Linked DNA regions of Cricetulus griseus. The protein of the gene in region 2 purifies or fractionates together with the protein of the main gene of each other region. This does not show direct contact. Links are inferred from orthologs where the notes say so. Each region holds a gene or a part of one and is shown on either strand. Other genes may lie near its edges.

Region 1 (4,013 bases), on a different chromosome or scaffold from region 2:
TCTGGATAAAAACAATGACCTTCTCTTCCGGAACCTGAAGGAGGTGAGGAAGACTCAGGCAGGCTGAAGTGGGTTGGGTACCCACCGCTCTGTGTGCATCTTTGGCTTTGTGCTCAACCCTGTGACCCCTCTTCTGCCTCACAGACCATGTGCAGCTCGATGAACCCCATCATGAGCCAGTGCTTTGACAGGAATGAGCTCAGTGACAAGAAGCGGCCAGAAACGGTGCGGAGACTATGACACTGGAGTGGTGTGTGTGTGCCTGAGTGCAGATCACAGCCTACGTGGCACTGTGACTGTGAGTGTGTTTAACACCCATGTGCACATCCATGGGTGTCTGCAGGAGGCTGCTCTTGGAACTGTCTTTGCCTATTTTTCCCCCCACCCTAGTGTGTGTGTGATATGCTGTGGCGTGAGAAAGGTCAGAAGACAACTTACTGGAGTCAGTTTTCTCTTTCCACCACATTAAGTCTCAGGGATCAAACTCAGGATGTCAGACTTGCCAGGAAGTGTCATTGCCCACTGAGCCACCTCCCTGGCCCTTCTTTGTCTGTTTCTAAGTGCATACCTGTGTGTCCACTTTTCTCCATATGTAGACTGTTGTGTGTATCTACCTGCATTTCTCTGTATTGGTACCCACAGCACCCCAGCCTGCGTGGGCACTTGTGTTATTGCCTAGTCAGCAGATATCTCTCAGCTCTGAGGAAACAGATAGATGCTCTCACAGCCAGGTGCATGGATGCTTTGGGAACCGTAGAGCGGGAGCAGTCTGCCTGAGGGGGTGGAGAGGTAGGCGTCTAGGACGGCTCCGAGGCAAAGGAAGCATTTGAGGTGAGAGTCTGAGTGCTTGGCAGGTGGACCCGTAGGAGGGTGCTGGAGGCCGCAAGAGATCAGTACATACAAGCAGAGGCCAAGGGAAGCTAGGCAGTTGAAAAGACCCATGTAGCAGACAGTGGTGCCACATGCAGGGGACCTTCAGCCAGCTAGGGCCAGAGGTGCAGATACTGGGCTGAGCCAGAAGAGGTCATCACACCTCCAGGTCAAGAGGGAGAGAGGACTGGAGTACTTCCAGCAGGCTCAGAGACATTGTGGACTTCCCCAGCCAGGATCCTGCCTCTGCTGTCCTGTCTCTGTCCTCCCCATCTTCTGCCTGAGCCTCCTCCTCTTCCAGCCAGTGTTAGCAGACTTTCTTTGGGCCACCAACTAGTTCCCTAATAATGACACGGAGATTTATTATTGATTATGAGTGTTCGGCCTTACCTTAAGCTTGTTTCTTGCTAGCGCTTTGTCTGCATTTTGCCTCAGGGCTTTTTACTTTTTTTTTTTTTTTTCATTCATTTCACTGCTTCCTCCACATCTGGCTGGCTTGTAGCTGGCTGGCTGACTCTCCAACTAGCCCCAGGCATCTCCTCCCTCTCTTTCTCCTTTCTCTCTTCTCTCCTCAAGCCTAGATTCTTCCTCTTAATTTTCTCTGCCCCTGAGCCCCACCTATCCCTCCTCTGCCTAGCTATTGGCAATCAGCTTTTTATTAGACCACTTAGGTGCCTTAGGCAGACAAAGCAACACAGCTTTACATCATTAAACAAATGCAGCATAAACAAATGTAACACACCTTTACATAGTTAAAGTGATATTCTGCAGCATAAACATATGTAACACAGCTTTATATAGGTTTTTCTTTAAATAATTTGTTTAACTTTATTTTATGTGCATTGGCATAAAGGTGTTAGATCCCAGCACTTGGGAGGCAGAGACAGACGGATCTCTGTGAGTTCGAGGCCAGCCTGGTCTATAAGTGCTAGTTCCAGGACAGCCTCCAAAGCCACAGAGAAACCCTGTCTCAATGCCCCCCCCCAAAAAAAAAGTGTTAGATCCCCTAGAACTAGAGTTGCACACAGTTATAAGCTGCCATGTGGGTGCTGGGAATTGAACCGGGGTCCTCTAGAACAACAGTGTTCTTGACCACTGTATCATCTCTCTAGTCCCCACGTCTTTATATAGTTAATTATTCCACAACAAACCAGTATCTCCCTACTCAGGATACCTATCTATACACCCTCCCCTACCCCTACTCTGTAACTTGCCTCTGGTTTCTGTATCCAGTGATGGCCCCAAGTGGACCCTTTCGTGTCCAGCCTCCTTTTCTTTTCCTGAGTTGGGGCAGAGATCACTCTCCACCTAGTCCCACAGGCCAGGGACTTTTCCAGCTGGGTGATACTGATTTCTATTGCCTGAATACATCTCAACTCCCTCTCCTTTGCCCTTATAACTACTGTTCCTTGTCATCCCTGTTATAGGTCCTTTGAACCAGTGAACCTCTCCCAAGGTTTCCGGCTCTCCACCAGCCCCTACCAATCCATCTTCCACATAAATGCTGTAGAAATAATCTAACACAGATCTCATTGCCACTCCCTTGCTCCACATTCTTCATTGACTGTTTCCCTAAAGATAAAATCTAGTCTCGCCAGTGTAAACTCTTCACTGATATACAGCCTCTGCGTTCCTTAAATCCTTGCAAGGATCATAGCTCCCTGTGTGTCAAGCCTTTGCCATCTGCCTGGACTGCCTTTCTCTCCTGCTGTCTCCTACTGACATAATTTCACTTTAGGGTCATTTCTAGATCTTCCCCAGTGCACTTTACCTCAGACTGATCAATTCTCTCAAAAATAAGGGCTGTGTGTGGGTATCTCAGTGGTGGAACTCTATCCTAACACACATAAGGTCCTGACTTTGTTCTTCAGCACTAGGAAGAAGGAAAAGAAAAAAAAAAGGGGGGGTGGTGGTGGCATTGCCAGGATAACTGAACAGGAGAGCTGGGTTTCTAAGCTGAGGTCTCTAACTGGCTGAAAGGAAGTGGGGTGAGGCAGGGGTGATGGGAGGAAGGTAGGGCAATCTGTATGGACATGACTGGCCTCAGCTCAGCCCCAGCCAACCTCCTATGCCCCCTTGGCTCACCAGGTTGCCACGCAGTTCAAGATGAGCCTCCTACAGCTAGTGGAGATCCTGAAGTCTAAGGAGCCTGCCTATATCCGCTGCATCAAGCCAAATGATGCCAAACAGCCTGGTGGGTTTTTCTGGCCCCACGCACGAGCAGTGAGCTATCACTGCCTCTCAGTGAAAGCCTGAGGACCGTCTTCGTTATCTTCCTCTCAGGTCGCTTTGATGAGGTGCTTATCCGACACCAGGTCAAGTACCTGGGACTGATGGAGAATCTGCGAGTGCGTAGAGCTGGCTTTGCCTATCGACGCAAATATGAGGCTTTCCTACAGAGGTAGGTGGGGTCAGCCCACCAGGAATGGGTAAGGTGGGAGGATGAGAACCTCCCGGAACCTTCAAGGGAGGAGGGGCATTCATTGCTCAGCTGCTCTGGGACCCAGGTCAGGAACCATTTTATACTATGGACCTGATGTTATGTTGGAAAAGAAGATACAAGGCACACACACACACAGCCCCACCCTTCTGAAGCCCCTAGTGAGAAGCATATTGGCAGGCTGCCACTAGAGACTGTGGTGACAAAAGCTCAGAGAAGGTGTTGTGGTTTTGTAATTATTCAGAAGACAGGACCTGAGCCAACCGGGATATGAATCCCATCTCTTCCTTAGGCAGATGAAATTACTTCAGCTCCCCCATCTTTAAAATGGGGACCCTTGGGCATGTGGATCACGTACCAGTGAGTGGGAGCACCTATAGACACCCGGCAAAGCAGAGGGGCCTCGAGAGCAGACTCTGGCTTAGGTTTGCCTGAGTACATTCCTGCTCTTCCCATCCCCAGGTACAAGTCACTGTGTCCAGAGACATGGCCCACGTGGGCAGGACGGCCCCAGGATGGTGTGGCAGTGCTGGTCAGACATCTCGGCTACAAGCCAGAAGAGTATAAAATGGGCAGGTGAGTGGAGCCTGTTCCCGTTGCCTGGGGGAATGAAGGAGGGTGGCATCCAGAGGCTGATCACTGCTATCCTCCCAGGACCAAGATCTTCATCCGATTCCCCAAGACCCTGTTTGCCACAGAGGAC
Region 2 (4,013 bases):
GAGGATTCTGGAAAATGTAGTAGAAAAGTGGTGATCCAGGCAGGAAGTGACATAGCAAGGAGACTCATATTTAACCAAGGAGAAATAGGAAGTGGCCCCCTTTCCCCTTCGGCTCCTCCAGCGGCAGGATGTGAGCCACCAGCAAGAGAGGACGCCAGCGAAAAGCATCCTCTATAAAGATAAGTCTTAAAACATATGTAGATTTATGATAATTAAGACTGAGCTAGCAGATGAGATCTTCTAGAAGCTAGCAGATCTAGAAGCAATGCTAGACATTGGCCAAGCAGCTTTGTACTTATTATGTCTCTGTATTATTTTGTCCATCCACGCGGCGGGCAGAACTCGGCTGCTGGCAGAGACTGCCCACGTGGCAGTGAGGCTCAGGCAGCTTGGTCGGAAAGATTTATCGTAACATTAACTCATGCTACAGCAGGGATTGTTGGCCTAGTCAGTATACTGAAGTTACATTGAGGATTGTGGTTTTAATTTTTAAGAACAAAACCCAATGATGCTAGTTAGTCAGGGTATGAAAAGGAAAAATAGTGCTGAAGTTATTTCTCCACCATTCAGTTTGAAATATTTGAATTTTATCTTCTCAGACTCTGAAGTGTTTGACACATTTGGATTTGCACAGCAACAAATTCACCTCATTTCCCTCCTTCTTGTTGAAAATGACATGCATCACCAACCTAGATGCCTCTCGAAATGACATTGGACCAACAGTTGTTTTTGACCCCCTGGTGATGTGTCCCAGCCTCAAACACCTTAACCTGTCATACAACCAGCTCTCTTCCATCCCGGAGAACCTCGCCCAAGTGGCAGAGAAACTGGAACAGCTCCTACTGGAAGGGTAAGAACTCACTCAATAAGACAACACACTTACATCCCACTGAACAAGCATGGGCAAGAAAACATGGTGATATTTCTACAGCAATGAGTTTAAAGGGAACGTGGCAAAGGTGGAGGCAATTGGTAATTCAGGCAATTTTGCTGGTTGGAATCTTCACAGTTAACTCTGAGGCTTAAATATGCCTTAAAGCTGTACTTGGGGGGTGAATTGGTTTCATTACCTTTATATTATACAAGCATTCACATTTTAATCCTCAGTTTTGTGTTTTACAACTAGAAATAAAATATCTGGGATTTGTTCTCCCTTGAGCCTGAAGGAACTGAAGATTTTAAATCTTAGTAAAAACCACATTCTGTCCCTACCTGAAGACTTCCTTGAGGCTTGTCCAAAAGTGGAAAGTTTCAGTGCCCGAATGAATTCTCTTGGTAAGTATGGTGTGCTGACTTCATCCTTACCAGGCCTTCAAGGAAGAGGCACATAGATGTGTTTTAGAAGGGAAGTTACTGGTGGTATTTCAGTTAAAATGTGCCGCAGTTCTACAAAACACATTGGCAGACTGATGATGAACTGAGCCATCAAGCCAGGGAAAAGCATGGAGAAAAGGATGTAGATGCATGCTTCAGCGAAGGAATGTCACACTAGCTTGATTCCACTTATAAAACAGCCTGAAGAAGGGAAAAGTATGGTGCCAGTAAAAAGTGCCATAATTATCATGGGCTAGAGAAGAGAAAGGGAAGAATACATGGTGCCTATATGACAGCAATGATGGACAGATGCCATGTTTGTCAGAACACAGGGAATGAATGACCTTAAACTAAACCGTGAATGGTGACACTGCTGTGTCAGTACTGGCCCCTGTTACAGCTGAACTAACACTGACTTGATAGTTGAGAAAAGCTGTGTGGGGAGGCAGGATGGGGAACAGGAACTGGGTCCTCTTCACCCTCATTATCTGTAAAACTAAAGCTGTGTAAAGTTTTGTTTTCAAAGATGTCTATAGTTTAAAAACATTAGCATATTACTATTATCATAGGAAAAACTACAGTCACATGGCTTGCAAATAATAATCACACTTTTGTTCATTTTTCATTTCCATGGCTGTCTTCATGCAGAAAAAAATCTTAATCCTGTTTCATGGCAGAATAGATTTTTAAATATAATTGAATCATTTATTTCCCCATCTTTCTCCTTCCTCCAACACCTCCCACTTTCTCTAAAATTCATAGCCTTCTTATTCTTAAGTTATTTTATTACCATAAATACACTAAGAAATGTATAAATGCAACCCTCTGAATCTTTTTTGTGTTTCTTGTATAAAATGTATGTTTTTAGGACTGACCACTTGGTATTGGGTAGCTAGTTAAGAAGGATTACTATCCCTGTCTCAGTGGTTGTTAATTTATTGTAGCTCTTCATATGTGGGTGAAATTTCTCTCATCCATGTTGGAATGTTAACTGGTTTTAGAATTGTTCAGGTGCTGTTCAGGCAGCCATGTTGTTGAGATTTCATGGGTATGGCTCCTCAACTGTTTCTGGAAGACACAATTCTGCAGCAGAGTTCCTGGACCTCTGGCCCTTATGATCTCTCTCTCTGCCTTTGCTTCTGAGGTATTCCCTGAGCCTTAAGCACAGGGGTTGTGTTGTAGATGCATCAATGGGACTAGGTAGTCGTGTTCAATGTTTAATCTGTATTTTACCTAGTTGTGAATTTCTGTGATGACCCCTGTCTCAAGAGAAAAGAATCCTCTTTGATGAGAGGTGAGAGCTGTACCTATCTGTGGGTATAAGGATACGTGTATAGAAAGCAGTTAGGGATTATACTGGTTTAGGAAAATCCTCTAAGATCCGTAAGTCCAGTTGTCTCATTTGATTGACTAGGTTTATAGGACCAGGCTTGATTTTCCTTCTGTTGAACAGATCCTATGTCCAATTAGACAGCTTGCAGTTACCATCAAGATGTCTGTGCCATTATTAAACATTTATCGATAGCTTGCCATGTTGTTCATTTTTGTTTGTAGGCATCACAGCTAGATAGTACTATTATTCCTCCCTTGACTGACTGCATTTTACCTTCTGCTGCTATGAAAGCTAGTTCTTAAGGACAGCGCTTTCGTGTCAGATCCAGCTGGAATCCTTCAAGTCCTGTGTCCAAAGTACTTGATGTCTTCAGTATCAGGAAGGCAACAGTGACAGCCTATATTTGTTTGGGAGTCTCCTGGACTATACCAACCAACAACTTGAGAGGGGTTTCTCACTTCTGAGGTTCGATAGTCCATGGCTCTTAGGGGAGGTATTATCATCCTATGTGGAATTACTTCATTTAAATATCCTCTCCCTATCCATATTGTTCAAGATCATAGATACAGACCTAATTTCATTCTTCTACATGTAGACATCCTGTTTTCCAACCACCACTTGTTGAAGATGCTCTCTTTTATCCAGTGTGAATTTTGGGCATTTTCATCAAATATTAGATGGCAGTGGTTATGTGCACTCACAGTTGGGTTTTCTGTTTTGTTCCATTGAGCTACATGTCTGTTTTTGTGCCAGGACAATGCAGTTTTTAGTACTATAACTGTGTCATATGTTTTATCTAGAATGGTAACCCCCCCTTGCATTTCCCCTATTGATTTAGCTATCTGGAGTTATTTATGGTTATATATGAATGGTAGGGTTTTGGTTTTTGTTTTGTTTTCTATTTCTGTAAAGAATGCTGCAGGGATCTTGATTGGTATTGCATTGAATCTGCAATTGCTTTTGGTAGGATGGTCATTGTAGCAATAAATAATTCTGCCAATTTATGAACATAGGCAGTTTTATCTTATTATTTAGTGGAGTACTATTATGAAGTAAAATTGTTTTATGCAGTTAGTACAAAATGTGACGTGCACAAATGATATGTTACTGGCAACTGCTCTTACTGAATTTATCAGAAATCTAGTTAAGATGATTGTAAACATCCATTATATTGTTTTATTTCCTTAGCTGCGATGCCTGCCTTACCTTTTTCCATAACAAGCCTAAAATTATCTCAAAATGGTTTCACATGCATTCCAGAAGCAATTTTCATTCTTCCGCAGTAAGTTCATTGTTATTTACTTCTGAAGCTGAATGAGTTGTGGCATAACTTTTAGAAGTAAAGCAATGATTTGAAATGAGCACA
Region 3 (4,497 bases), on a different chromosome or scaffold from region 2:
GTACTACCCTATGCCCCCCCTACAGAATCAAGTTGCTTCCTTATGAGGTCAAGGAATTTTAGGTTTGCCTTCTCCCTAAGGATCACCCTCTGCACCTGCCTCAGCACACTGCCTCTTAATCCCCTCACTATCCCACTATAAAATCCTATCACAGATGTTATCAGGAATCTGAACTGTGGTTTTCTTGCACAAACCTGGAGCTTAAGTCTAGTCCATTGCAGTGTAACTCCCTTCTCTACCATTCAGCAGAAGAATCAAGATCCCAGAGTCTAAAGAGGCTTTTGCAATAGCCCCAAATTGAGTGATTCATGGAAATATTCTCCACAGGAAGTACCTGGTCATCTAGGTGCTACAAAAGTCTGGCCTCAGACCTCACTCAGGATTTGTCAGAGGTGCCAGAAGGATGTATGCAGGGCATTCTGTAGGTCTCTCGGAAGTTCTTCCTGGGAGGGAGTAGCTATTGGCAGGTGTGGCTATTTGGGAAAAAAAATCTTGGAAATGACCCTTTTTTTTGAGACAGGGTTTCTCTGTGTAGCTTCGTAAACCAGGCTGGTCTCGAACTCACAGAGATCTGCCTGCCTCTGCCTCCTGAGTCCTGGGACTAAAGGCATGGGCCACCACCGCCTGGCTATATGTGACCCATTCTAAGAATAAGAAAATTTTGTGAGTCCTGTAATCCCACTCAGCATTTAGGATTTTGAGTTAGGAGAATTGAAAGTTCAAGGCCTGCATGAGCTACAAGGTGAATTCAAGGCTACCTGGGTAACATAGTGGAGGCTTGGGAGGTAGTTATCTCAGTGGTAGAGTATTTGGCTGGCATGCATTAAATTCTGAATTCAGTCCAGACCCCCCCCCACCAGTTTTAAGGAAAAGTCACCATGAAAACATTTATTCAACACAGGAAGAAAATTTTGTTTGTTTTTTGAGACAGGGTTTCTCTTTGTAGCTCTGGCTGTCCTGGCAGTCACTCTGTAGACCAGGCTGGCCTCAAACTCAGAGATCTGCCTGCCTCTGATTCCTGAGTGCTGGGATTAAAGGCATGAACCACCACCGACCAGCAAGAAAATGTTTTTAATTCATGATTTTTACCAAGGAACAGTTAGTGCTGTGTTAACTAATCTTCATAGTTGATAGACCTGAAAGAAACTGGAATGCCGGGTGTTGGTGGCACACACCATTGGTCCCAGCACTCGGGAGGCAGAGGCAGGTGGATCTCTGTGAGTTCAAGAGCAGCCTGGTCTACAAGAGCTAGTTCAAGGACAGCCTGCAAAGCCACAGAGAAACCATGTCTCCAAAAACCAAAAAAGAAAAAACAAGAAAAGAAAAAGAAATTGGAGACCCTTCTTGGGTTTCTTGGATGTGTATGCATTGGGAGGGGCAGTAAAGAAAGTTCAAATTCAGTTTGTATGTGTGTGGGGGATGTCTTTGAAATGCAGCTCACAGTCACTACCTCCCCCATGCCCCTTCCATCTGCCTACCGGTTGATCTGATTACCATGCCTGTGGGTAAATGGGTTTATCCTCCGGAAAGACAATCATCTCCATGTACTCTAGTGCCACCTCACAAACTTGAAATCAAGCCACTAATTTAGCAATTTATGATAATTCATTGGCTTCCCTAGCAGAGGTCTCCTGCTAGACAGAACAGTGAGGGATCTTGATCTTATTGGGAGGCCAGAATGTGAAATGTCATTGCCAGTGGAGCCAACAAAGGTAGCACTGGATGCATAGTGCCTGGAGGGGACCCCAGCACTTTGCTCTTCAAGTTACACTATAGATTACTAAATTGACTCTGGAGATGTGATCAAACTCCCCCTCACTGCTCTTTCATATTCTTTCTTTTCTCCCTTTTATCTTACTATATAGCATGTGCCACCTTCTCTTTTTGATAATATTGAGTAGGAAAACAAATTAAATAGGCCTGTTATTCCAACATTTATGAAACAGAAATTGGGAGGGGGATTGCCACTTCAAAGCCCAGTCTGGGTGCTACATAGTGATTTCCAGATCAGCCTGAGCTGCAGAGTGAGTCCTAGTCTACACACACACACACACACACACACACACACACACACACACACACATCAGAAAAGGAAAATCTAATTTGCAATTATCTATTTCAATTTCATGTTATGTGCACACTGGCATAATGCAAATGTAGCTCATATTGGGGTTGCAGGTAAAATGAATAACAAAATGTTAAAAATGGCATTGCTTTATGTGTCCTTTCTGTAGGAAATGACATTTGAGTTGAATCTGAAACTACCAGGAAATGGGCACATAGAACAGGAAGAGAGAGCTTGACAATATTAGGTAATGGCTGTGCCTACCAACTTCACAGATATTTGGCACTTTGTACCACACTGCACACCCCCAGGCTTTAAGACTTCACCTGATTGCTTTGAGAATTCAATGTATTTTTGTTGTTTGCTCACAGCCAACAGCTGCACCTAGCAGGAACCAAATCAATGATAGCTAGCTACAAGGGCTTGTTCATTACAGTGCTCAGGGACCCATTGGGGCCTTAGGAACGAACGGTTGGTGCTCACTGCAATTACCTGTTTCATCTCTTCCCATGGAACAAGACCTGACCGGTGTGGCCAAACCAGGCTTGGGCAGAGGCAGAAGGCTGTGACTGTGGGCAATTCCCCTGTATAGGTGGCTTTGGAGCGGGGCCTTCTTTCCAGCCAGTAAGCATTTGGCTCCCTTGTACTCATCTAGCCTATTAAAGGTTGGGCCTAAACACAGGTTTTGCAGACCCCCCCCCCCCCCGGAAGCCTGGCGGCCCTCACGGAGCAGTGAGCTCATTCTGAGGGATGGCGTCGCCTGTCAGCCAGGGCACTTGAGCTCGTGGCGCGCCCCCGCATCCCCTCCCCGCCCCCGGCTCCAGGGCGATTTTACCAATTAAGGCTTTCTTGCCGGGACGGGCTCTGCCGGGCCCCGCGCGGGGCGGACGTGGGGCGGGGATGCAGCCAACAAGAAGGCGGGCAGCAGCGGCTCATTCGCGTGGAGGCGCGCGGCGCGCAGCGGACGCCAGGGGAGTTCTGAGGCCTCTGGCTCGAGCGCAGAGAGCTGGGCGCCACCCCGCGGTTGGAGGGACAGCAGGTGAGGGCTCTGTAATTAGCTCCACACCGGATAGTAGTCAGATAGTGGGTGCGACGCTCGGGAGCTGGGAAAGGTTTGGAAAGCAAGCAGAGAGGCCGAGGCCAGGCAGTTTGGGTGTGGACTCAGGTCCGAGGCATCGTGTTAGTGTCCAGACTTGCATAGTTTACCACAAACTTATGTTTGTGCTCAGGAATCTGTGAGCTCGAGGTCATGGGGGGGGGGTCCCTGAAAGAGGGGCTGGTATCTGAGTGTTTGGCAGGAGATGGGTACAGGCGTGGGTACCCATTAATTGGTCTTTGTGTGACTCTCTGGGGGTGGGAGGGAGGTCTTTTGAGACTAGTATCTTGATTGGGATAAGGGTGAGTGGCAACTTAGAAGGACACTTTTCAGCCAATGGCAAGGGTGGATATGAGTCCACCCTCATATGAATACATATGAGATGATGAGTCCCCTGCTAGTTTGGACATAGGGAGCTGATTTCGGGGCTGTGGTAGGGGTATAGCGAGACAGATTTCCAGCCTGGATCTTGGGTCCTGTCTCAGGTTGGTTCTGAGTATGACGGTCATTGCCAGCCAGAACATAAGCACCAAGGTTCCCAGATCCCAGGAAAGAAAAAGTGGGTGAAACCCACACACAGTCTCTTGCAGCTCCAAGGAGTCTGGCCAAGGTGGAAAGTTCAGGAAATCAATTCTCTATCTTGTCACACCTGAATTTGCCTTACAGGCACTGGTTTTACTTCAGGGATTTTCTGCTTCCTTCCCTCCTGGCGCCCCCTGGCTACACAAGTCTAGAAAAGCTCTTCAGGGTCCTAGTATAGCTGGTGGGCTTGGGTCTATAGTTCCCTATGGGAGGGCCTGGCCTAGGGTCTGATGGTGGGGGTGGGAGAGGTGGGCGGGGTGTGCCTAACATCGAAGAATCTACTCCAAATAAGGGAAAATATGAAAGAGCTGGATTTTGGCTTCCTGGAGCTGCCCCTGGATCTTTGAGATGGAGCGACATCTGGTGGTGGCACTGTGTCCACTCTAAGGCCAAGAACTCTCCCCCCTCCCCCACCCCTACCCCCGAAATAGCCAAATCATAGGGCTGGAAGCTGGGACTCCCAACTTCTGTGTGATCCATTACTATGATTCCGTCTTCCTTGTTTCCTGCCAATTAGTGAACTCAGGTGATCCAGACAAATGGCACACAGTGGAAAATCCATTATTGATTCAATTCCATACATGGGGATTTACTCTCCAGTAGGTCAGGGTAATCAGAAAGATAACTCTAATTATGTCTTGAATGACAGCCCTTAAATTTTCCATTTGGGTTACCCCCTCTCAGTTCTGCCATCCTGTCCCTCAACTCTCCCCTTGGCTTACTTGATGCAGGTATATATGAAAACAAAAGAGAG
Region 4 (3,766 bases), on a different chromosome or scaffold from region 2:
AGGTTTCTAGAGTTGTTTTGTTTGTTTTTTTTTTTTTAATATAATCAATTATGGCATAAGTTCCCAAGAGTAATAGGATAAATCTGTAAGTTACTACACACTTTTCAACTAAGATGAACATGTTTTAGTAGACCTCTATCTCAATATTCTGATAATTATAAAAACTTGGTTACATTTTATAGGAACAAAGAAGAAACAGGCTAGCAAGAGAACTACCTTCAGCTGTATCACGAGACAAGGTAAATAAATAAAACTGTTTTTATGTTATATTCTCCACACCTCAGGGGAGAGCTCAGCCTCAGCCAGGTGTATTTCTCTGTGAGAATATTTTACTTCCTCTGTCTCTGATGGTTTAAGGATGGTGTATAAAGTTTTAAAAAGCTTTGAATAATTTAAAAATAAAGGTGGCTTTTAAGCATCAAGGATTCTTTATAAGATTCAGATTCTTTATAAGATTCAGATTTGTTCAATAATGATTTTATCATAAGGGCTTTGGGAGAGGGACGAAAACTGTGTATGTAGTAGGTGTTAATTCTTTGCAGCAACTTTCAGCAGTTACACCTCTTATCTTGGGTTCCTTGTCAGAAAAGCTCTCATTAAGTGCTGGACACCCTACCCCACCCCGCAAGGAGCAGCAAGCAGCATTAGATTCGGGTTTTCTTAAGTAAGTTTTCATTTGCAGAAAAGCTTGACAAGGGACAGTGCTGTAGGAAATGAAGCAGAGTATAGACTTGTATCTCCATGGGTACTTTTGTTTTTTTTAATTACTTTACTATTTTGTTTATAGAGGGAAAATTTTGTCTATAAAATGTTTCCAAATGCATTTGGCATCCTTGATTTTTTTCCCCCCTGCATTTTTGCCTTTAGTCTTCTAAAGTTCCAAGTGCTTTGGCACCTGCCTCCCAGGAGCCCTCCCCTGCTGCTTCTGCCGAGGCTGATGGCAAGGTCTGTTCTCATTCCTAATCTAAGCCTGCATGCCAAGTTTGGAGACAGTATGCTGAATAAAATGATATTAATATGGGGCATTGTGTTAGACTATTTTAGCCTGTCCAGATTTTTAAATTGTATAGCAAAGTATATATCCGAGTATTGTTGACATGCTTTCCTTTGCTTGCTATATAGAAGATATACATAGAAGAAATGATCTTCTACTTTTAAACTTTCAAGCTATTACTGTTTAAATCTTGCTTGTTAAATTGCATGTTTTAACATATCTTTTAACAGTTAATTCAGGACAGCAGAAGAGAAACTAAAAATGTGAGTCTCTTGCTTTAGAATGAAAATGTTGGTGCCTTTGGTTCTCACTAAAACACTCTTCACATTCATCAAAAAACCTGTTCGTACAGTGACCTCCATTTCTTGTCTGTGTTATGGTCTTAATGTTCCTTTTATCTAACCCATGTAAGGTGGCATTAGTCTAGCTTTTACACTGTTTTAACTGTTATTAACAATAGCCATTCCTACATCTGCTACCTGCAAAATTAGCTTCCAGTATCTTCTTTTGGTAGAGATTAAGATTTCAGAGCTGGAAATGGTCTGAGCTCTAGTCTGTTCAGTGCTTTCCTGCGTTTCCCATAATTGTCTGTATTAACTCTAAATATAGAATTTCACTTGTGCTTTCAAAGCTTAAGCAAATTCACAACCTGTGAGAGATTAAAGCTTGTCGATTCCTTAAAAAAAAGCTTGTCAATTCTTGATAATCGTTTTTCACTAAAGATCATGGGTAGAAAACTCAGACCTATTTCTTTTCTACTCTTTCTTTCACCGCTTATTCTCTAAGTGTAAGTTTCTCATCCTGAGCCTTATGGACATCTCTCTCTGTCAGCCATAGTCTCCAGGGAACCATTCTAATCATTGCACAAGTTTTATTTCATTCATGGTTCACTTTCCTTATGATTCCATTTCATTTATAATTCATGTCTGTTTAACAAACACTAAAAATTAATTACTCACTAACACATATAGATATCACTTATTTTTATATTTTTGATATTGTGACAGATTTTTCAAATTTGGATGATTCCCCAAACTGCTTATTTTCATACAAGTACCATAAGTCTTCCATTACATTTATATGACCCAATTCTTTTACATTTAGAAGATCTTAAAGATCTAAAAACATCTCTTAAATGTTGGTGTATTTTGTTTTTCTCATATTGTTTCTTTTAGAAGTCAAGAGTCAGAACCCAGAAAATAAGGTTCCAGAAGCAACTGTGGTGAAAGGGAGCAATGGCTTCTCACTGACTCCTTTCTCGGAATGAGGGATGGGGGAGCATATGTTGTGCTCATGTTGCGTTTCACATTTTAGGTAGCTTCTTGATGTGATAGTTGGGTGTGAGGATGTAGTGTTCTTTCTCTTAGTAAAGAGGTTTACTTTTTCTTTTGACTCTCAGGGATATAAACTAGTTTTAGAAATATGTAGAGGCTCACAGTTCTGTAAGCTCATATTCAATGGCTAGTGTTGAAGATTACTTTGGTGAGAAGCAACCGAGCAGCAGTTCTGTTTCCTTGTGTGTGCTTTTAATGTAGTGTTTGAGGAGTGGAGAAAGATGCAACATTTTGAAAAGTCAGTAAATGACAAATAAAAAGTAATTATATGGGACCTGAATTGGCTATTGGCTTGCAGGCAGCTTCAAACAGAACCTCACAGGTTTCTGGTGACAAATGCCATTATTATCTCTGACTTCATTATCTATTTGAATAAATTCCAGATAGGTACTACCTGTGTGTTCTGGATTACCATCCAACCAAATGAACTTCATTTGTTGTCAGATATACAGTGTATAGATTTGGCACTTGTGTTTTCAGGTTGTATCTGTAGGAGGTGGGATTGGAGATGGTGGTCAGGAACCAGCAACAGGCAACTGGAGAGGAATGCTGAAAACTTCAAAAGCTGAAGAATTGCTTGCTGAAGAAAAATCAAAACCAATCCCAATTATGCCAGCAAGTCCACAGAAAGGCCATGCTGTCAATTTGCTGGATGTGGTAAGTCATTAACAATTTGATTTAAATCTACAGACAAACGGAAGTCGTAGCAGAAAAAATTAAAGTCTCAAAATATTTTAACTTTTAAATATTAAATGTTGCCATTTCAAAATGGCACAGAAGTAATATTTTCCCCTTATCCTTTTAGCCAGTTCCAGTTGCACGAAAACTGTCTGCCCGTGAACAGCGAGATTGTGAGGTTATTGAAAGACTCATCAAATCCTATTTTCTAATTGTCAGAAAGAATATTCAAGACAGGTCAGTATTACTTAATATATAAATACTGCTGGATGAGTTCATGATCTGTTTTAATAAATCTTACATGAAACAATTTAGATTCTAAATCTAAACTGTGGTAACAAGACTTATTAGTCTGTTAACATGGAATGATTAGGGTATTATATATCAGCTGGAAAAAAATTTAATAATAAGAGGATCAAGTAATAGTGATGTGTGTCTATAATTACAGGTATCGAAAGACTTAGCCTCAAGGATAATGATCACAGATATAAGGCCAGCCTGAGATGCCCTCCTACCCCAGTCTCCAAATAAAATAATTAGAAAAGGGTAGCAGTGTGATTCCATGCTATGGTATAGAATTAGTTTAGTATAGTATTCATGAGGCATTGGATTCAATCCCCAGTGCTCTGAAAAAATTGAAAACAAATATAGTCGACATGGTTACATTTTATTACCTTATTCAAAATAAAGCACACCCTTTGCCAGGAATAACTTTCTATCTGCCTCACTTCTAATATGTCATATTTATGAATCAACCTAC
Region 5 (4,775 bases), on a different chromosome or scaffold from region 2:
GCGTATCCGGCATGAATTCAGGTGAGCCTCATGAATTCTAGTAAGCCTTCTGACTCCTAGCCTTAGCTTCAGGACCAACCCCACACACACACACACACACAGACATACCACCACCACCACCACCCCACACACACACACCCCCACACACACACTAGCTGAAAGCTTTCAAGATGATGGAGGTGGAGCAAATGCCAGCCTGGAAAAGGAAGGTTTGGTCACTAGCCCAAGGAGCAAAGAACTCGGTCGGTTTTGAAAAGTGAGGCTCTGTATGTGGTGTGTGGTCCGGGGCAGAACACCTTCATCACCACTCTTTTCTGCTCCAAGGGATGACCTGGATGGGCAGATCCGCCACATGCTCTTCTCCTGGGCTGAGCGCCAGGCTGGACAGCCTGGGGCTGTGGGACACTTGGTACAGGCCCTGGAACAGAGTGACAGGCAGGATGTGGCTGAAGAAGTGCGAGCCATCTTGGAGCTTGGCCGCCACAAGTATCAGGACAGCATCCGGCGCACAGGGCTGGCCCCTGAGGACTCTACTGTGCCTGGCACCTCGGCTTCACAGACCCCAGAGTCTGCCCAGGCCTAAGCTCAGCTGGCCTTTGACTTGTGTTGGCCAGTGGGAAGAACCCCTCCCCTATCCTTCTACCTCACCTGTGTGGTACAGTGCTCCAGCATACAAAAACTCCTTAGGGTTTTGAAAGCTTGGTTTATTTTGAGACAGGTCTTACTGTCTAGCCCAAGCTAGCCTCCAACTCCCAGTACAACCTCAGAGATTGATTTACTTATAGAATAGAGGGGAGGGGTGCCTAGGTGATCTAAAGCCTAGCCCCCGGGTGTGCCCACTCTTCCTACCATGCTAAGTCCTCCCGTTAAGATGAGGGTGGAGGGCTGGGCGTTGGTGGCGCACGCCTTTAATCCCAGCATTCGGGAGGCAGAGGCAGGCGGATCTCTGTGAGTTCAAGGCCAGCCTGGTCTCCAGAGCGAGTGCCAGGATAGGCTCCAAAGCTACACAGAGAAACCCTGTCTCGAAAAACCAAAAAAAAAAAAAAAAAAAAAAAAAAGAGTGCAGAGAAGACCTGGAGAGACAGCACTGGCTGCTCTTCCAGGGGACCGGGTTTCAATTCCCAGCACCCACATGGGGGCTCACAACTGTCTTGTAACTCAAGTTCCAGAGGATCAGACACCCTCATCTGGTTTCCACAGCACCAGACACACATGGTGCACAGACATGCATGCAGGGAAAACATCCATATTCATAAAATAAAAGCTATTTATTGTGTGTCTATGTATCAGAGGATAACTTTGCAGAGGTTATTCTGCAGGGTCATCAGGCTTGGTTGCAAACACCTTTACCCAGTGAGCCATTTCTAGACCCTAGTGTGTCTTCCTCAGGGAGGGGGAGGAGCCATTCTACATAGTAACCCTGCAGCAGGTGTGGATACAAAGTCATCTGTGACAGAACTGTGCGTAGCTCTGCCCACCGGGATCTCGTGGGCGGTGTCTAAGGAGCATCTGGGGACCAAACCTCCCCCAGGCCACACCATACACGGTTTCCCGCCACCTGTTCTTGGTCTCCATCCCGGCTTGAGGTGGGAAGACCAAAGAGAGGGCCTAGGGATACTCCAGAAAGCCCACACCCCCTCAAGGGTGGCCTGAGGCTGTGGCTGGTGGCAGTGGCCACGCCTGCCGGGAGGGGGAGCCGACGGCAGCCAGGGTTTAGGGCGGAGCGGGCGCGCCTCCGAGAGACGCGCCTCCCAGCTTAGGTGCAGGCCGGGCGCGCGGCACAGCGGGGAGGCGATCCCGGCGGCGGCCGTGTGGTGAGTACTAGCCGGTCAGTTTCTGTGGCGCCCACCCAAATCTGGATGGCTTGCGGGGAGAAAAGGGGTGGTGTTGGTGGCTGGGAGGGGTGACATCTGTTCAGATACTGCGTCTCCGGCAGAGCATGGACCAGCGGGTACCTTAACCGGCTGTCTCTCGGGTGTTTCGGAAGGCCGTGCTCGGTCCCGGCGCTGCCGGGCGCGCTCCCTGCACACGTGTCCCAGCCGTGTGGAAACCCCAGAACTGAAGTGGTTTTTTTTTTTTTTTTTTGCCGGGGTGGGGGCGCCGCTCACGTGGGAACCCGGTGGACGTGCGTGGGCACGTTCATAGTCAGAGTCCGTGTCGTCTGGCTGGAGATAGCGAGGGCAGCTCAGCCCGGACCGTGGGGTAAAGGGTATGATCTGTCATGGAGCAGAGGATGTGCCCCATCCCTGGTTTTTCTTTGTAGGTCCCGCTAGGGCATCTCGCAGTGGAGCCCTCTTTGTAGCCCTTCTAGCTAGCAAGGCAAAGCTAACCTCCCTAAGAGGAAGGGGTGAGGGAGACTATTGGGGGAGGGGCACGCTGGTGGCGGGCTCAGCCCCAGCTCTCTCTTGTCTGTCTCTCTCTCTCTCTCTCTCTCTCTCTCTCTCTCTCTCTCTCTCTCTCTCTCTCTCTCTCCTCTCTCTCCTCTCTCTCCTCTCTCCTCTTCTTTATTTTGAGAGACGGGGTCTGTGTGTGGCACTGGCTGTCCTGGAACTCTCTATGAAGACCAGGCTGACTTCGAACTCAGCTGAGATCCGCCTGCCTCTGTCTCCCAAGTGCTGACTATGAGTGCCACCACCGCCCGGCTGCTTTTCTTTTAGGTAGGAAATGGGCAGCTTCATTCATGGAAATGTGGGGGAAAGCTGTATGAAGCTGTTAGCCTCTGTATGCTAAACTCATGTTTCTCAGTGGGCCTGTGGCCTGACTGGGGAAACCTGGGCCAGCTAGGCAGAAAGCTCTGGATCCTCAGCGGTTAGACTGTACCGTCATGTTTCTATGGTAACAAGCCCTTTAACCCAAGCAGAGGCAGGAAGATCTGAGTTTGAGGCCAAGCCTGGTCTACAGAGGGAGTTGTAGGACAGACATGGTTACACAGAGAAATCTGTGTGTGTGTGTGTGTGTGTGTGTGTGTGTTGGGGGGCAAAAACAACCCCTGGGGTGGGAGAGAGAGAACAGCCCAGAGGGTTCCCTTGCCTGTTGTTCCAGGCAGCAGAGCCCCTCATTCTCAGCTAAGCAACTTTCCTGTCTGGTGTTTGCCTGTTTTGTTTAGTTCTGGGTGCAGGGCTGACTCAGCCCATGGGATCTCAGTGCCTACCTGTCTCTTCCCTACCACCTTCAGATAGTCTGACTTCTCAGACACAAACAACACCCAGGTGCCCAGATTCCAGATGTGGGGAGAGATAGCATCTGAGGAACACCAGGCTCACTGTTCTGAGGGCAGAGGCAAAGGGAATGATGGATAAGGGACAGCAGGGAGAGCTGCTGTAGCTAGTTGACATTTGGAGCATGGTATGGGGAGGGAGAAATCAGACTACAGTTCAGAGGTCAGGCCTTTGTCACATACCAGGCTTAGGAGGGACTCTTCCACTGGGGCCCCTGGTGTGCAGAGGTGGGGCAGAGGGCAGAGGGCACCTGGAGTACCGCCCCCATGTCCTCTGGACCTGCCAGGTGAGCAGGGCCTGTGCTTGGCAGTGGCCTTTGATAGTTAAGCATCCCTTCCTTGCTCTTTCCAGAGAACAGGTATACCTTCTTGTAACCTAACCTAAGGTTCCCTGATGGGTACACCCAGGTCTCACAGCACAGTGAGTGTTGACCCATTTCTCAAGGGCACATGTTCACAGGTCCATACAGGGTGTCCCATGCCTGGGGTTCCAGGGCTATAGACAGATCTGTGCTTGTCTCACAGGCTTCAGACGGAAACCTACTGAGTGGCCTCAGAACTTGGTGGCCTGGGACTGGGGTCCCTATGGTTCTCATGGTTAGTCTGTACCCCTTCTTTAGCTCCCAGGCTGGGCCCAGCCCCAGACCCCCAGAAGTTGTCTCACCCCTCTCTGCCTTTCCCCAAAGCTGCAGAGATTATCATCTAGCCCAAAGTGAAAGAGAAAGTCCTCCCCCCAGGCCCGCCCCGCCCCGCCCCATGGCCAATCCCTGTAGCCTTTCGCCTCCTCCCCCTGGCCAGCCTCTTTATCTCCTCGGTGAGCTTGCTTGCCCTGGAGCTGTGGAGGAGCAGTTGTGCGCACTCTGGGGTGCACTCAGGGTGAGCAAAACCCAAAGCTTGTATGGGGAGAGGTGGGTAGCAGGTTCAGGGTCATAAGTCCAGTGGGGGCTCTTTAGTGTGAGACAAGTCTGTGACCCCAGGTGGCAGCTCTGAGGACACTAACCTGTGTGTGACAGCTGACCTCTGAGGACTCGGGGAGATACACAGGGGAGGACCAGGACTCCTGGAACCCACCCCAGCTTAGTTTATATGATTGTGTCCCACAGGGGAGCCCTCCCCCCCCCGAAAGGATTCCCATCCTCGCTGCTAATAGAAGGGGCCCTTCTCCCACCCCAAGGGAGTTGGGTGTACCGGCCACAGATGCCTTGGGAGACAGACATCCCACCGCTTCCCTCCTCATGCCATTTATTCCTGTCCCGTCTTCCCTAAATCCTTATCCCCAGGCTCCTGTGTCTGTTAGGAGTGAAACACTTCCCTTGGGAAGTGGACAGGAAGGTGGGCAACCAGCTCAGTGTGGGTGGGGGGTCTTGCGTCTCTATGGGAAGGGGCTCCATGAGCCAGAGTGAGGTGCTGTGGAACTAGGTCTGCTCTGCCCAGGAGCACCACAAAGAAGAAACCACCACCACCCTATCCCACTGAAAATGACAGATGCTAGCTGCCTCTGCTTAGGGATGGGGACTGGTTACCACAGCTCAAGTCCAGGGTCTCAAGTACCACTGCA
Region 6 (4,611 bases), about 290 Mb from region 2:
TTCCACACACCTAGGCTTCCAGTGCTTTCTTTGTCCGTTAGGAAATGTGCTCAACTGCGTTTTGTACAAGTGCTGAGCTACATTTTGTGACTTCTCTTGTAATTTGCTTTGTTCAACATCCAACAAAATTCTAAGCAGGAGGCTCAGTGGTGTGGTTAAGAGCATGTATTAGTCTTCACAACTGCCTGGAGGCTGAGAAGTTCAGAGTTTGAGGCCAGCTTTGGCTACAGAGAGTACTAGGCTACCCTGGTCTATAATGTGGCAAGACCCTTTCTGAAAAAACAAAGCCAAGGAGGGTAGAGAGAGATGGCTTATCAGTTAAAAGCACCAGGTGGCTCACAACAGCCTGTAATTCCAATTACCTGGGATCCCACTCCCTATCCTGACCTCCAGGGGCACTAGGCATGCATGTGGTGCACATACACACATATAAACCAAACACTCATACACATACAGTAAATATAAAAATAAAAAATCCAAACAAAATATACGAGTCTCTGTATAAAAGTAACCTGAACAGACTCCATGCCTCTGACTTCCTTGGGCACCTACACAGACACACAAGATTGAAAGTAAATCTTTATAAAATATGTCAACTCTACTTTCCCAAGCTTGCACCTCCAGCTGCTTTGTTTGATACGTCTACTGGGTTACTGAATAAGAAAAAAACACTCCATTTTTTCATTCTGTCCTTTGAAGGCCTAAGGTTCACTTTGCCAACTGCAGATTTTGATTCGCTGACTAGACCTAAAGATGGTCAGAAAATTAAAACAATTAGCTAAAGAAATTTTCTTTTTTGTTGCTACTCTGCAGTCAAACGTAGTGGGAGATTGACTAGAAAAGAATCCACTGCCCTCAATTTACATAAAGCATTCCCTGTTTGCTGCAGCCCCAGGTTCCCTCGGCCTGAGGCATTGGAGACTTAAGGATTTGAAGCCTGGGCTCGCCCAGAAAGCTCTCACACGGAAGTGCACTTGGGTGAAACCACCAGATTCAAAGCCTGCAAGGTTGGTCTGGCGACTAGGCCGGTCTGGCTCAGCATTTCTTGCCTGCAGGGCTCAGAAATAAGGGGCTGCAAAAAATTAGGCTCCGGGTGGGGTTAGGGTTGGGGTTGGGTTCCGGCAGGTCCCCTTCGGCGAAGCGCCTGCGGCATACATAACCTCTGCACTTCAAGACTTCCGCACTCTGGGCCCTCACAGTAAAGAAAGGCCTCTAGAAGATTCCACGAGTCTCGGAACCCGGGCCTGAGTCCACCCCCACAAGGCCCTTGGGCACGGCCACTCCCAACCCCAGCGCCCCCGCGCCGTTGCCCAGGTAACCGAGGGGCGGCGGCAGCGGCGTGGGGCGGGACTTCCGGCGAGTGACGCGCCCGGGCTCGGCTACAAAAGAGGTCGGCTGCGGCGGGCCGGGCGGAACTTTCCAGAACGCTCCGTGGGAGGTGGAGGAGCAGCGTCTGCCCCAACTGCGTTGTGCTACGCTCCTCTTTCCGCTCTCCGGCACCGGCCCGCTCACCGGTGAGTCTCGGCCCTCGGGCCTTCCTCGGCCGCGACGTGCGGCCTGGGCGCCAGATAGCCGAGGGGAGCCGCAGCCGGAGGCGGTTGGCCCCGCGTGGGCAGGGGCTGCGGGCTCCCTGAGCCGGAATCCGGCTTCGGAAGGCCGCCGGGATGCCCGGCGCCCTCCCCGACCGTCTGTACGCCGCGAGGAGGCCCAAGGCCCGAGCCAACTCGGCGCCCGCCTCAGACTCCTGTCGGTGCGCACCCCTTTCTCCCCGCCGCCCGCGCCGGGTGGGCAGCGCTGCGCACGCGCGGACCGAGGCAGGGGTGAGGGGCTGCGGGAGGAGCCGGGCGGAGGCTGCGGCTTGTGCTTCTTCTCCTGGCTCTCCTCCCTCTCTTTGTTGAGGTCCGGCCTTCCCCCTCCGCCTTTTCGATCCGGGTGGGAGGGAGAAAGGAAGGAAACCTTAACTGTAGGCGCCAGGTGCTGGGGGGAAATCCAGAGGGCGAGTCAGCTTGGCGGGCCTGAGGGACGAGAGTGGGTAAGCGGCGAGCAGGATCAGGATGGCGACGGGGCCGGGGGCACCTGCTCCCCGGAGCTGGTCTCATAAGCCACTCCTCCACCCCCGGGAGTCCACTGTCCTTTTCCGGCGAGTGAGGGCCTTTATCAGATGTACAAAGGCAGTGCTAATGTACTAACCAATGGACAGAACCTACCAGTGCTGCTTTGGGTTACTAGCACAACCTGTGGGGAAAGGAAACCGGAAGGAGCCCCATCACACATGTGTTAGTGCGGCAGAGTAGGAACCAGCTGCTAGAAAGGCTTTCGAGTTCCCCGCAATTTACGTTTATATTTAGTCTGTTAGAATTTTCAGCCAGATCATATCAGGAATTGATAGCTTTAAAGTTAGCGAAGGCAGTGTTCTTTATACGGCAAAGAACAGATTGCTCTAGTTCTGGTAGTTTGCTAAAAACTACCAATTAAAAGCCGGTCATGGTGGCTCACACCTTGAACCCGGCTCTCAGGAGGCAGAGGCAGGTGGCGCTTCTGCACAGCACTAAAAGCTGGTTTAAAGCTCCCCGTTTTTCTGATTTCAGGCTGTGAAAGATGGTGAAAGAAACCACTTACTATGATGTTTTGGGGGTCAAACCCAATGCCACCCAGGAAGAACTGAAGAAGGCATATAGAAAATTAGCCTTGAAGTACCACCCTGATAAGAATCCAAATGAAGGAGAAAAGGCAAGTACATTCTCGAACAGTTCAGCAGTGTTGCCATGTGTGTACTGCTGGTGCCCGAAAGTCAAGGTTGTAATACAGTGGCTGTGCCGTGTGACAGTTATTTCTAATGGGATTTCTTTTTCTGAAACAGTTTAAACAGATTTCTCAAGCTTATGAAGTTCTTGCTGATTCCAAAAAAAGGGAATTATATGATAAAGGAGGAGAACAGGCCATTAAAGAGGGCGGAGCAGGTGGTGGTTTTGGCTCACCCATGGATATCTTTGACATGTTCTTTGGAGGAGGAGGGAGGATGCAAAGAGAACGGAGAGGTAAGAAAAAGTACAGCTTACCTGCAGCAGAATGAAATGGCTGCTACTGAAAAACTGAATTTACTACCTTCAGTGCTTGTTTACATATTGGTATGATGCCTCTGATTTCTGGTGTCATTTAAAATTGAGATTTTTAAAAAAGAAATTTAGATAGTTGAGATTTTTATGTAATCAAAATAGCTAAGCCAATCTAGTGGGTATCTCCCATCCACAGATACCCAAACAGTAAGATAACAGCATGGCAACCTGGGCTTCTAAGCCCTTACACATCATGCCCCTAGAACAAACACAAATGGTTAAGTGTAATGGCCTTTATCAGTTAAAGAAGAGTTGAGAAAACTGAAACATAGCAAGCCAAGACTGAAAACAGCTCATTGCCTCCAGATAACCTGCTGCCTGTTTAATCTTACTTTAGCTTGCTAACTCAGTTTATATGCATTTAATGTTTTAACAAAAAAGTTGTCTCTGAGCTAGACAGACTTCTTGGGAAGATAGCATTGGAGGTCAATAGTACTTCATTTTTGTTTACTGTGTTTTTACAAGAATTTACTGGAAATGAATGTTGTGGCCCTGAAAAGTGGCTCAGTGGTTAAGAATACTGTACTCTTTGCAGAAGATCCAGATTTCAGTGCATGGCTCACTACTGCCTGTAACTCCCGCTCAAGAGGATCTGATAACCTCTTCTGACCTCTGGGCTTTCATACAAACATGTATGCACAAAAATTAAAATTAAAAAAAATCTGTTGTGAACCATAAGGATAGTATGAGCTACTAACTTTTGGCTTATTTTAATATGAGGGTTTTTGTTGCTGCTGCTTTGGAAAGTATACTTGGTCAGTTTCCAGAAGCTTTGTTTTTCCTTTTCTGTACTCTGTATACAAAGTTAAGAAATGGGCAACTTTCAACTTGGAAGAACCTGCTTACATGTTCTTTTTGTGATAGTAGAAATCTAAAGTAAAGCTAGAAACAAAAGGATATGATACTTAACATCTCACTTAAAAGAGTAAATGTTCCTTTAGGTATGATGGTCAGAAAGGATTGAAACTGTTGTTAGCCACCAGGCAGTGCCATTTGGTGATGGATAAAGTCCTAGTGGAAGGATCACTGGCTAGGAACTTATTAACCATAGAGGGTAATTTTATTTCCATAGCCTGATTATCCTTGTGTGATCTCAACCTCCTCCTCCTATTGCCATAGGTAAATTAATTACATGTGGCATTCCTTTGTAGTCACTAGCCAGATGTGAGTCTTTAAATTAAGATTAACTTAAGGGAGGGAGGGTGGATATTCTCTCCAGCTGTGGTAGTCACCACACTTAAATTGTGACTAGTAGTTGCTATATTGAACACATGATACGCCCATCATTAAAGTTTTCTGTTCTATTACAAAAAGCATAAGAAATTTGTCATTTGAAACAACCAGTTCTAGCCTGGCAGTAAACTATTGAAACAGAAGTAGGAATTGTTTCAGTAGTGTCTCAATATTGGCTTCTCTAGCCAATCTTGATTAGAAAGAATGTACTGTTTGGATGAAGTAACTGGCCATGTTGCTTAATGCTTAGTAAGTGAAACCT
Region 7 (4,013 bases), on a different chromosome or scaffold from region 2:
CCTTCCTCCTCTTAGTTCCCCGGGCATTTCATTTCTTCTTTCTGTTATTCATTCTTTTTTTAAAATTTTTCTTCAGGCCTGGAATGATAGCTAAATAGGTCAGGAACCTAGCACAAGGACTCAGGTTTGACCTTGAGAACCCATATATAACGAGACATGGTAGTATACACTTGGTAATATGTCCAGCTAGCCTATGTGGTAAGCTCTAAGTTTATGATACTCTAAAAGAGAGAAAAGGTTTTTAAAAATGAAAAGGGGTAGATGGCTTCTGAGGATCAATACCATGGGGTGTCTTTCATCACACGGACACTTCTCCCTACCACTGAGTTGGATTTGTGTTTAATTTAGACCTGTACTAAAGGGAAAATTGCTGTACTTAAGATACACAATTAAAGTAAGCCGTCTCACTGAGTTGTATTAATAACATATCACCAGTCGTGATAAATAATAAATTTATTTGATTAGTTTCAATGAAACGAGTTTAAATAAAGTCATGCGGTGCTTGATGTGGTGGATGACAAGCTACAGACAGGTATGTGGTCTTTTCTAGGTTCCTCATTCCACACCCCTGCTGTCACACAGCATGCACCCTATTTTAAGGGCACAGCTGTTGTCAATGGAGAGTTCAAAGAGCTGAGTCTTGAAGACTTTAAGGGGAAATACTTGGTGCTTTTCTTCTACCCTTTGGATTTGTAAGTGATTCTATAATGCTTTATGTCCTGAGAGCTGGTGTTGGTTTATAACCCACAATGAAATTCCTCTTCTAGTGAAGAGGAAGATTCTCTGATTTTTGTCCCCTGGTCTTGGCTGTATGTGGCTCCTGTGATGAGCATAATGGGAAAAAATGACTTTACTTCTAATGGAAGAGTTTTAATATGATTCTGTAGTTTTTCTGGTGGTCCTGGGGATCAAAACCCAGGCCTTGTTCATGCTAGGCAAGCGCTTTATCACTTTATGCTCTCAACCTTTTGTGTTTTGTTTTTTGTTTTTTTAAATGTCTTTTTCGAGACAGGGTTTCTCTGTATTGCTTTGGAGTCTGTCCTGGAACTCACTCTGTAGACCAGGCTGGCTTCAAACTCACAAGAGATCCTCCTGTCTCTGCCTGCCCAGTGCTGGGATTAAAGGTATGTGCCACCAACGCCTAGCACTCTGAACCTTTAATACAGTTCTGTATTACATGCTTTTGATTAATGGTTCTCTAAACCGGTTTAAACTTTTTACCAGTCTGGTTGGAAAATGAGAAAGTAGTATAAGAAATGAGTTTTTCATAAAGCAGCTTTGTTTTAAGTACAGGTTTTCTTTTTAAGTCTTCAAACACATTACCCCCCCCCCCAGCCCCATGCAGATTGATTGATTGATTGATTGATTGAGGCAGGACATCTCTACATAACCCTGGCTGTCTTGGAACTCACTGTAGACCAGGCTGACATCAAATTCACAAAGGTCTGCCTGCCTCTGCCTCCCGGTGCCCAGCAACAAGAAGGAAGGAAGCTTACTCTTTTTTTGGGGGGGGGGGACTGGGGAAGTGGGCATTGTCTCTATTTGTAGACCAAGCTGGCCTGAACAGACAAATATCCTCCTGCCTCTACTTCTGAGTTCTGGGATTAAAGGTGTGTGCCACCAACCCAGCCCATTTCGCTCCCTAAGCAAATCAGCTTAGTTTTTAGACAACTTATGTTTATGTCTTAAATTTTGTCTTTGCATAATCTGATGAAACTTTCTTTTTCTCCCAAGCACATTTGTGTGTCCTACAGAAATCGTTGCTTTCAGTGACAAAGCCAATGAATTTCATGATGTAAACTGTGAAGTAGTTGCAGTTTCGGTGGATTCCCACTTTAGCCATCTTGCCTGGATCAATACACCAAGGAAGGTAGGTTGGTTGACAAGTCACCTTTCCTTGGTTTTATTTCATTCTTCTTTGGTTTCATTTCTAAATCATAAATAATATAGACCACACAGTAAAACAGTGTGTATTTGTGAGATACAGTGTGATATTTTGATACTTGTGTGTTGTGCAAGTATCAAATCAGGCTATTCAGCACTGTTTACTCAATCATTTCTTTGTGGCTGTGATATTCAAAATCCTTTTTTAACTAGGCAGGCTGGTTCATAACTTTAATCCCAGTACTCAGAAGGCAGAGGCAGGAGGATCTTTGTAAGTTTTAAGCTAACGTGGTCTACCTAGTAAATTCCAGGGCAGCCAGAGCCACGTGGTGAGACCCTGTCTCAAACAAAAATCCCTAGCCAGGCAGTGGTGGCACACACCTTTAATCCCAGCATTCGGGAGGCAGAGGCAGTCAGATCTCTGTGAGTTTAGTGACTAGCCTGGTCTACAAGAGCTAGTTCCAGGACAGCCTCCAAAACCACAGAAAAACCCGTCTCCAAAAAACAAAACAAAAATTAATAATAATAATCTTCTTTTAGCTAGTTTAAAAAATATAATATGTTCTAACTATAGTCATCTATTGTGTACAGAAGAACAAAACTTATTTTTCTTATATAACTAATCATTGACCAGTGTCTCTTCCTCATTCCCCAGCTACCCCTGTCCCCTATACTAACAGAAGAGATTTAAGACAAAGCCTAGAGGTTGTCAAAGCATAGCCAGTCTGAAGTGAGTTTCTTGCCTCACCCGCCGCCACCCCCTTCTTCCTTTCAAAACCAGTGTCTCATGTGTTTCAGGCTGGCCTCTTAACTGGATGTATTAGCCCAGATGACCTAAACTTCTGATCCTGCAGCCTCCACCTTCCAAGTGCTAGGATCAGAACCTGGTTTATGCCTTCCTGGGGATCAAATCCAGGGCTTCATGCCTGCTAGATAAACTGTTTACCAGGTGAGCCATATCCTCCTTAAGTAGGCTGTTTGTAGATCCTTGCCCATCAGCAGTCTGTAAACTATGGTAGTAATAATTCCCTGGACACTGTATGTATCTTTACTACTCATTCCATGTATATTTTCCAAGGTTCAAATAGTAATGGAGACAGGCTCAGTGGGACAGGGGGCATGGCTTCGGTCTATTACCTCCTCTTAGGCCTGTACTCTGAACCTATAGTAGCTTGCTGGACTGTTCTTTATGATGTTGCCTAGAAATATGCTAGGAAAAACAATCAGAATTCCACTAGGTCTGACACAGGACTAACACTAGTGACTTGAGTAATTTGTCACACCTTCATTATTATGTTTGAGAAATTAGTTTTCATCTCAACAGCTGCTTTAACAATTGGAAAAAGAGAGAAGGGTATGCGCAGAGCTTTTCCTTAATGGGCAAGAAGCCTTGGGTTCGGTCCCCAGTACCATATAAACTGGTTGGGTTAGCATAGCCTGTGATCCCAGCGTTCCAGATCATCATTGGCTACGTAATAAATGAGAGGCCAGTCTGGCTACATGAGACCCTGTCTCAAAAGGAAAGGTAAATCAGACTGTAGCAGTGTCCTGAAGAAAAAGTACTCTTTTTGAGCTTCAGTTTCCTCGTCTGTAAAATAATGGAAATGGGCCATTGAGGTGGCTCAGCAGGTAAAGTGCTTGCTGGGCAAACATTACAACCTGAATTCTTTCACTGGAGCCCACATAAAGTGAAGGAGTTCCACAGTTGCCCTCTCACCTCCACACACATACACGTCAGTTAATAAAAGGAAATGGGCACTGGAGAGATGGCTCATCAGTTAAGACCACTGCTGTTCTTCAAGAGGACCCAGCTTCAGTTTCCAGCATCCACATGGGAGCTTACAACTGTTTTCAATTCCAGGGGATCCGATGCCCTCTCCTGACCTCTTCAGACACTGCATGCCTGTGGTATGCAGGTAAAACACTCAAACACATAAAATTAAAGTAAATTTTAAAAAACATAATGTCAGATATAATTGTATGTACTTTAGGCAGGTTGCAGGAGGGAAGTTAAACAGAATTCCCTTGTGTGCATTTGCTATTATTTACCTCCATTGCTGTTAGTTTTAAACATTGGTACATGTTTCAGACCTTTTCGGATCACTGAGAAAACTGGTCCCATTTGCCTT

The links.
Region 1: the proteins of Lrrk2 (region 2) and Myo1c purify together in Homo sapiens (affinity purification with mass spectrometry; 3 studies listed by BioGRID and IntAct, with this or other methods). This does not show direct contact. The link is inferred for Cricetulus griseus from reciprocal best matches to the Homo sapiens genes LRRK2 and MYO1C.
Region 3: the proteins of Lrrk2 (region 2) and Emd purify together in Homo sapiens (co-immunoprecipitation; 3 studies listed by IntAct). This does not show direct contact. The link is inferred for Cricetulus griseus from reciprocal best matches to the Homo sapiens genes LRRK2 and EMD.
Region 4: the proteins of Lrrk2 (region 2) and Dnm1l purify together in Homo sapiens (co-immunoprecipitation; 6 studies listed by BioGRID and IntAct, with this or other methods). This does not show direct contact. The link is inferred for Cricetulus griseus from reciprocal best matches to the Homo sapiens genes LRRK2 and DNM1L.
Region 5: the proteins of Lrrk2 (region 2) and Slc25a22 purify together in Homo sapiens (co-immunoprecipitation; 3 studies listed by IntAct, with this or other methods). This does not show direct contact. The link is inferred for Cricetulus griseus from reciprocal best matches to the Homo sapiens genes LRRK2 and SLC25A22.
Region 6: the proteins of Lrrk2 (region 2) and Dnaja1 purify together in Homo sapiens (co-immunoprecipitation; 4 studies listed by BioGRID and IntAct, with this or other methods). This does not show direct contact. The link is inferred for Cricetulus griseus from reciprocal best matches to the Homo sapiens genes LRRK2 and DNAJA1.
Region 7: the proteins of Lrrk2 (region 2) and Prdx3 purify together in Homo sapiens (co-immunoprecipitation; 3 studies listed by BioGRID and IntAct, with this or other methods). This does not show direct contact. The link is inferred for Cricetulus griseus from reciprocal best matches to the Homo sapiens genes LRRK2 and PRDX3.

What each region holds. Positions count from the first base shown.
Region 1 is NC_048600.1:89,129,366-89,133,378, forward strand, and holds part of Myo1c (unconventional myosin-Ic), read left to right. Parts: coding exon 1-43; intron 44-144; coding exon 145-225; intron 226-2,958; coding exon 2,959-3,064; intron 3,065-3,153; coding exon 3,154-3,271; intron 3,272-3,772; coding exon 3,773-3,886; intron 3,887-3,964; coding exon 3,965-4,013.
Region 2 is NC_048595.1:388,262,508-388,266,520, forward strand, and holds part of Lrrk2 (leucine-rich repeat serine/threonine-protein kinase 2), read left to right. Parts: intron 1-599; coding exon 600-850; intron 851-1,126; coding exon 1,127-1,275; intron 1,276-3,835; coding exon 3,836-3,929; intron 3,930-4,013. UniProt on the Homo sapiens protein: Serine/threonine-protein kinase which phosphorylates a broad range of proteins involved in multiple processes such as neuronal plasticity, innate immunity, autophagy, and vesicle trafficking.
Region 3 is NC_048604.1:1,461,054-1,465,550, forward strand, and holds the start of Emd (emerin), read right to left. Parts: upstream 3,038-4,497; 5' UTR 2,901-3,037; intron 1-2,900. UniProt on the Homo sapiens protein: Stabilizes and promotes the formation of a nuclear actin cortical network. Stimulates actin polymerization in vitro by binding and stabilizing the pointed end of growing filaments. Inhibits beta-catenin activity by preventing its accumulation in the nucleus.
Region 4 is NC_048597.1:73,166,847-73,170,612, forward strand, and holds part of Dnm1l (dynamin-1-like protein), read left to right. Parts: intron 1-182; coding exon 183-239; intron 240-867; coding exon 868-945; intron 946-1,224; coding exon 1,225-1,257; intron 1,258-2,808; coding exon 2,809-2,985; intron 2,986-3,133; coding exon 3,134-3,243; intron 3,244-3,766. UniProt on the Homo sapiens protein: Functions in mitochondrial and peroxisomal division.
Region 5 is NC_048596.1:59,745,828-59,750,602, forward strand, and holds the start of Slc25a22 (mitochondrial glutamate carrier 1), read left to right. Parts: upstream 1-1,682; 5' UTR 1,683-1,814; exon of another isoform or gene 1,815-1,828; intron 1,829-2,635; exon of another isoform or gene 2,636-2,657; intron 2,658-4,003; exon of another isoform or gene 4,004-4,093; intron 4,094-4,775. Other genes in the region: Pidd1 (p53-induced death domain-containing protein 1), read left to right, coding at 1-21, 325-583. UniProt on the Homo sapiens protein: Mitochondrial glutamate/H(+) symporter. Responsible for the transport of glutamate from the cytosol into the mitochondrial matrix with the concomitant import of a proton. Plays a role in the control of glucose-stimulated insulin secretion.
Region 6 is NC_048595.1:101,875,679-101,880,289, reverse strand, and holds the start of Dnaja1 (dnaJ homolog subfamily A member 1), read left to right. Parts: upstream 1-1,376; 5' UTR 1,377-1,514; intron 1,515-1,883; exon of another isoform or gene 1,884-1,899; intron 1,900-2,588; 5' UTR 2,589-2,598; coding exon 2,599-2,730; intron 2,731-2,860; coding exon 2,861-3,038; intron 3,039-4,611.
Region 7 is NC_048596.1:448,207-452,219, forward strand, and holds part of Prdx3 (thioredoxin-dependent peroxide reductase, mitochondrial), read left to right. Parts: intron 1-550; coding exon 551-692; intron 693-1,734; coding exon 1,735-1,870; intron 1,871-4,013. UniProt on the Homo sapiens protein: Thiol-specific peroxidase that catalyzes the reduction of hydrogen peroxide and organic hydroperoxides to water and alcohols, respectively. Plays a role in cell protection against oxidative stress by detoxifying peroxides.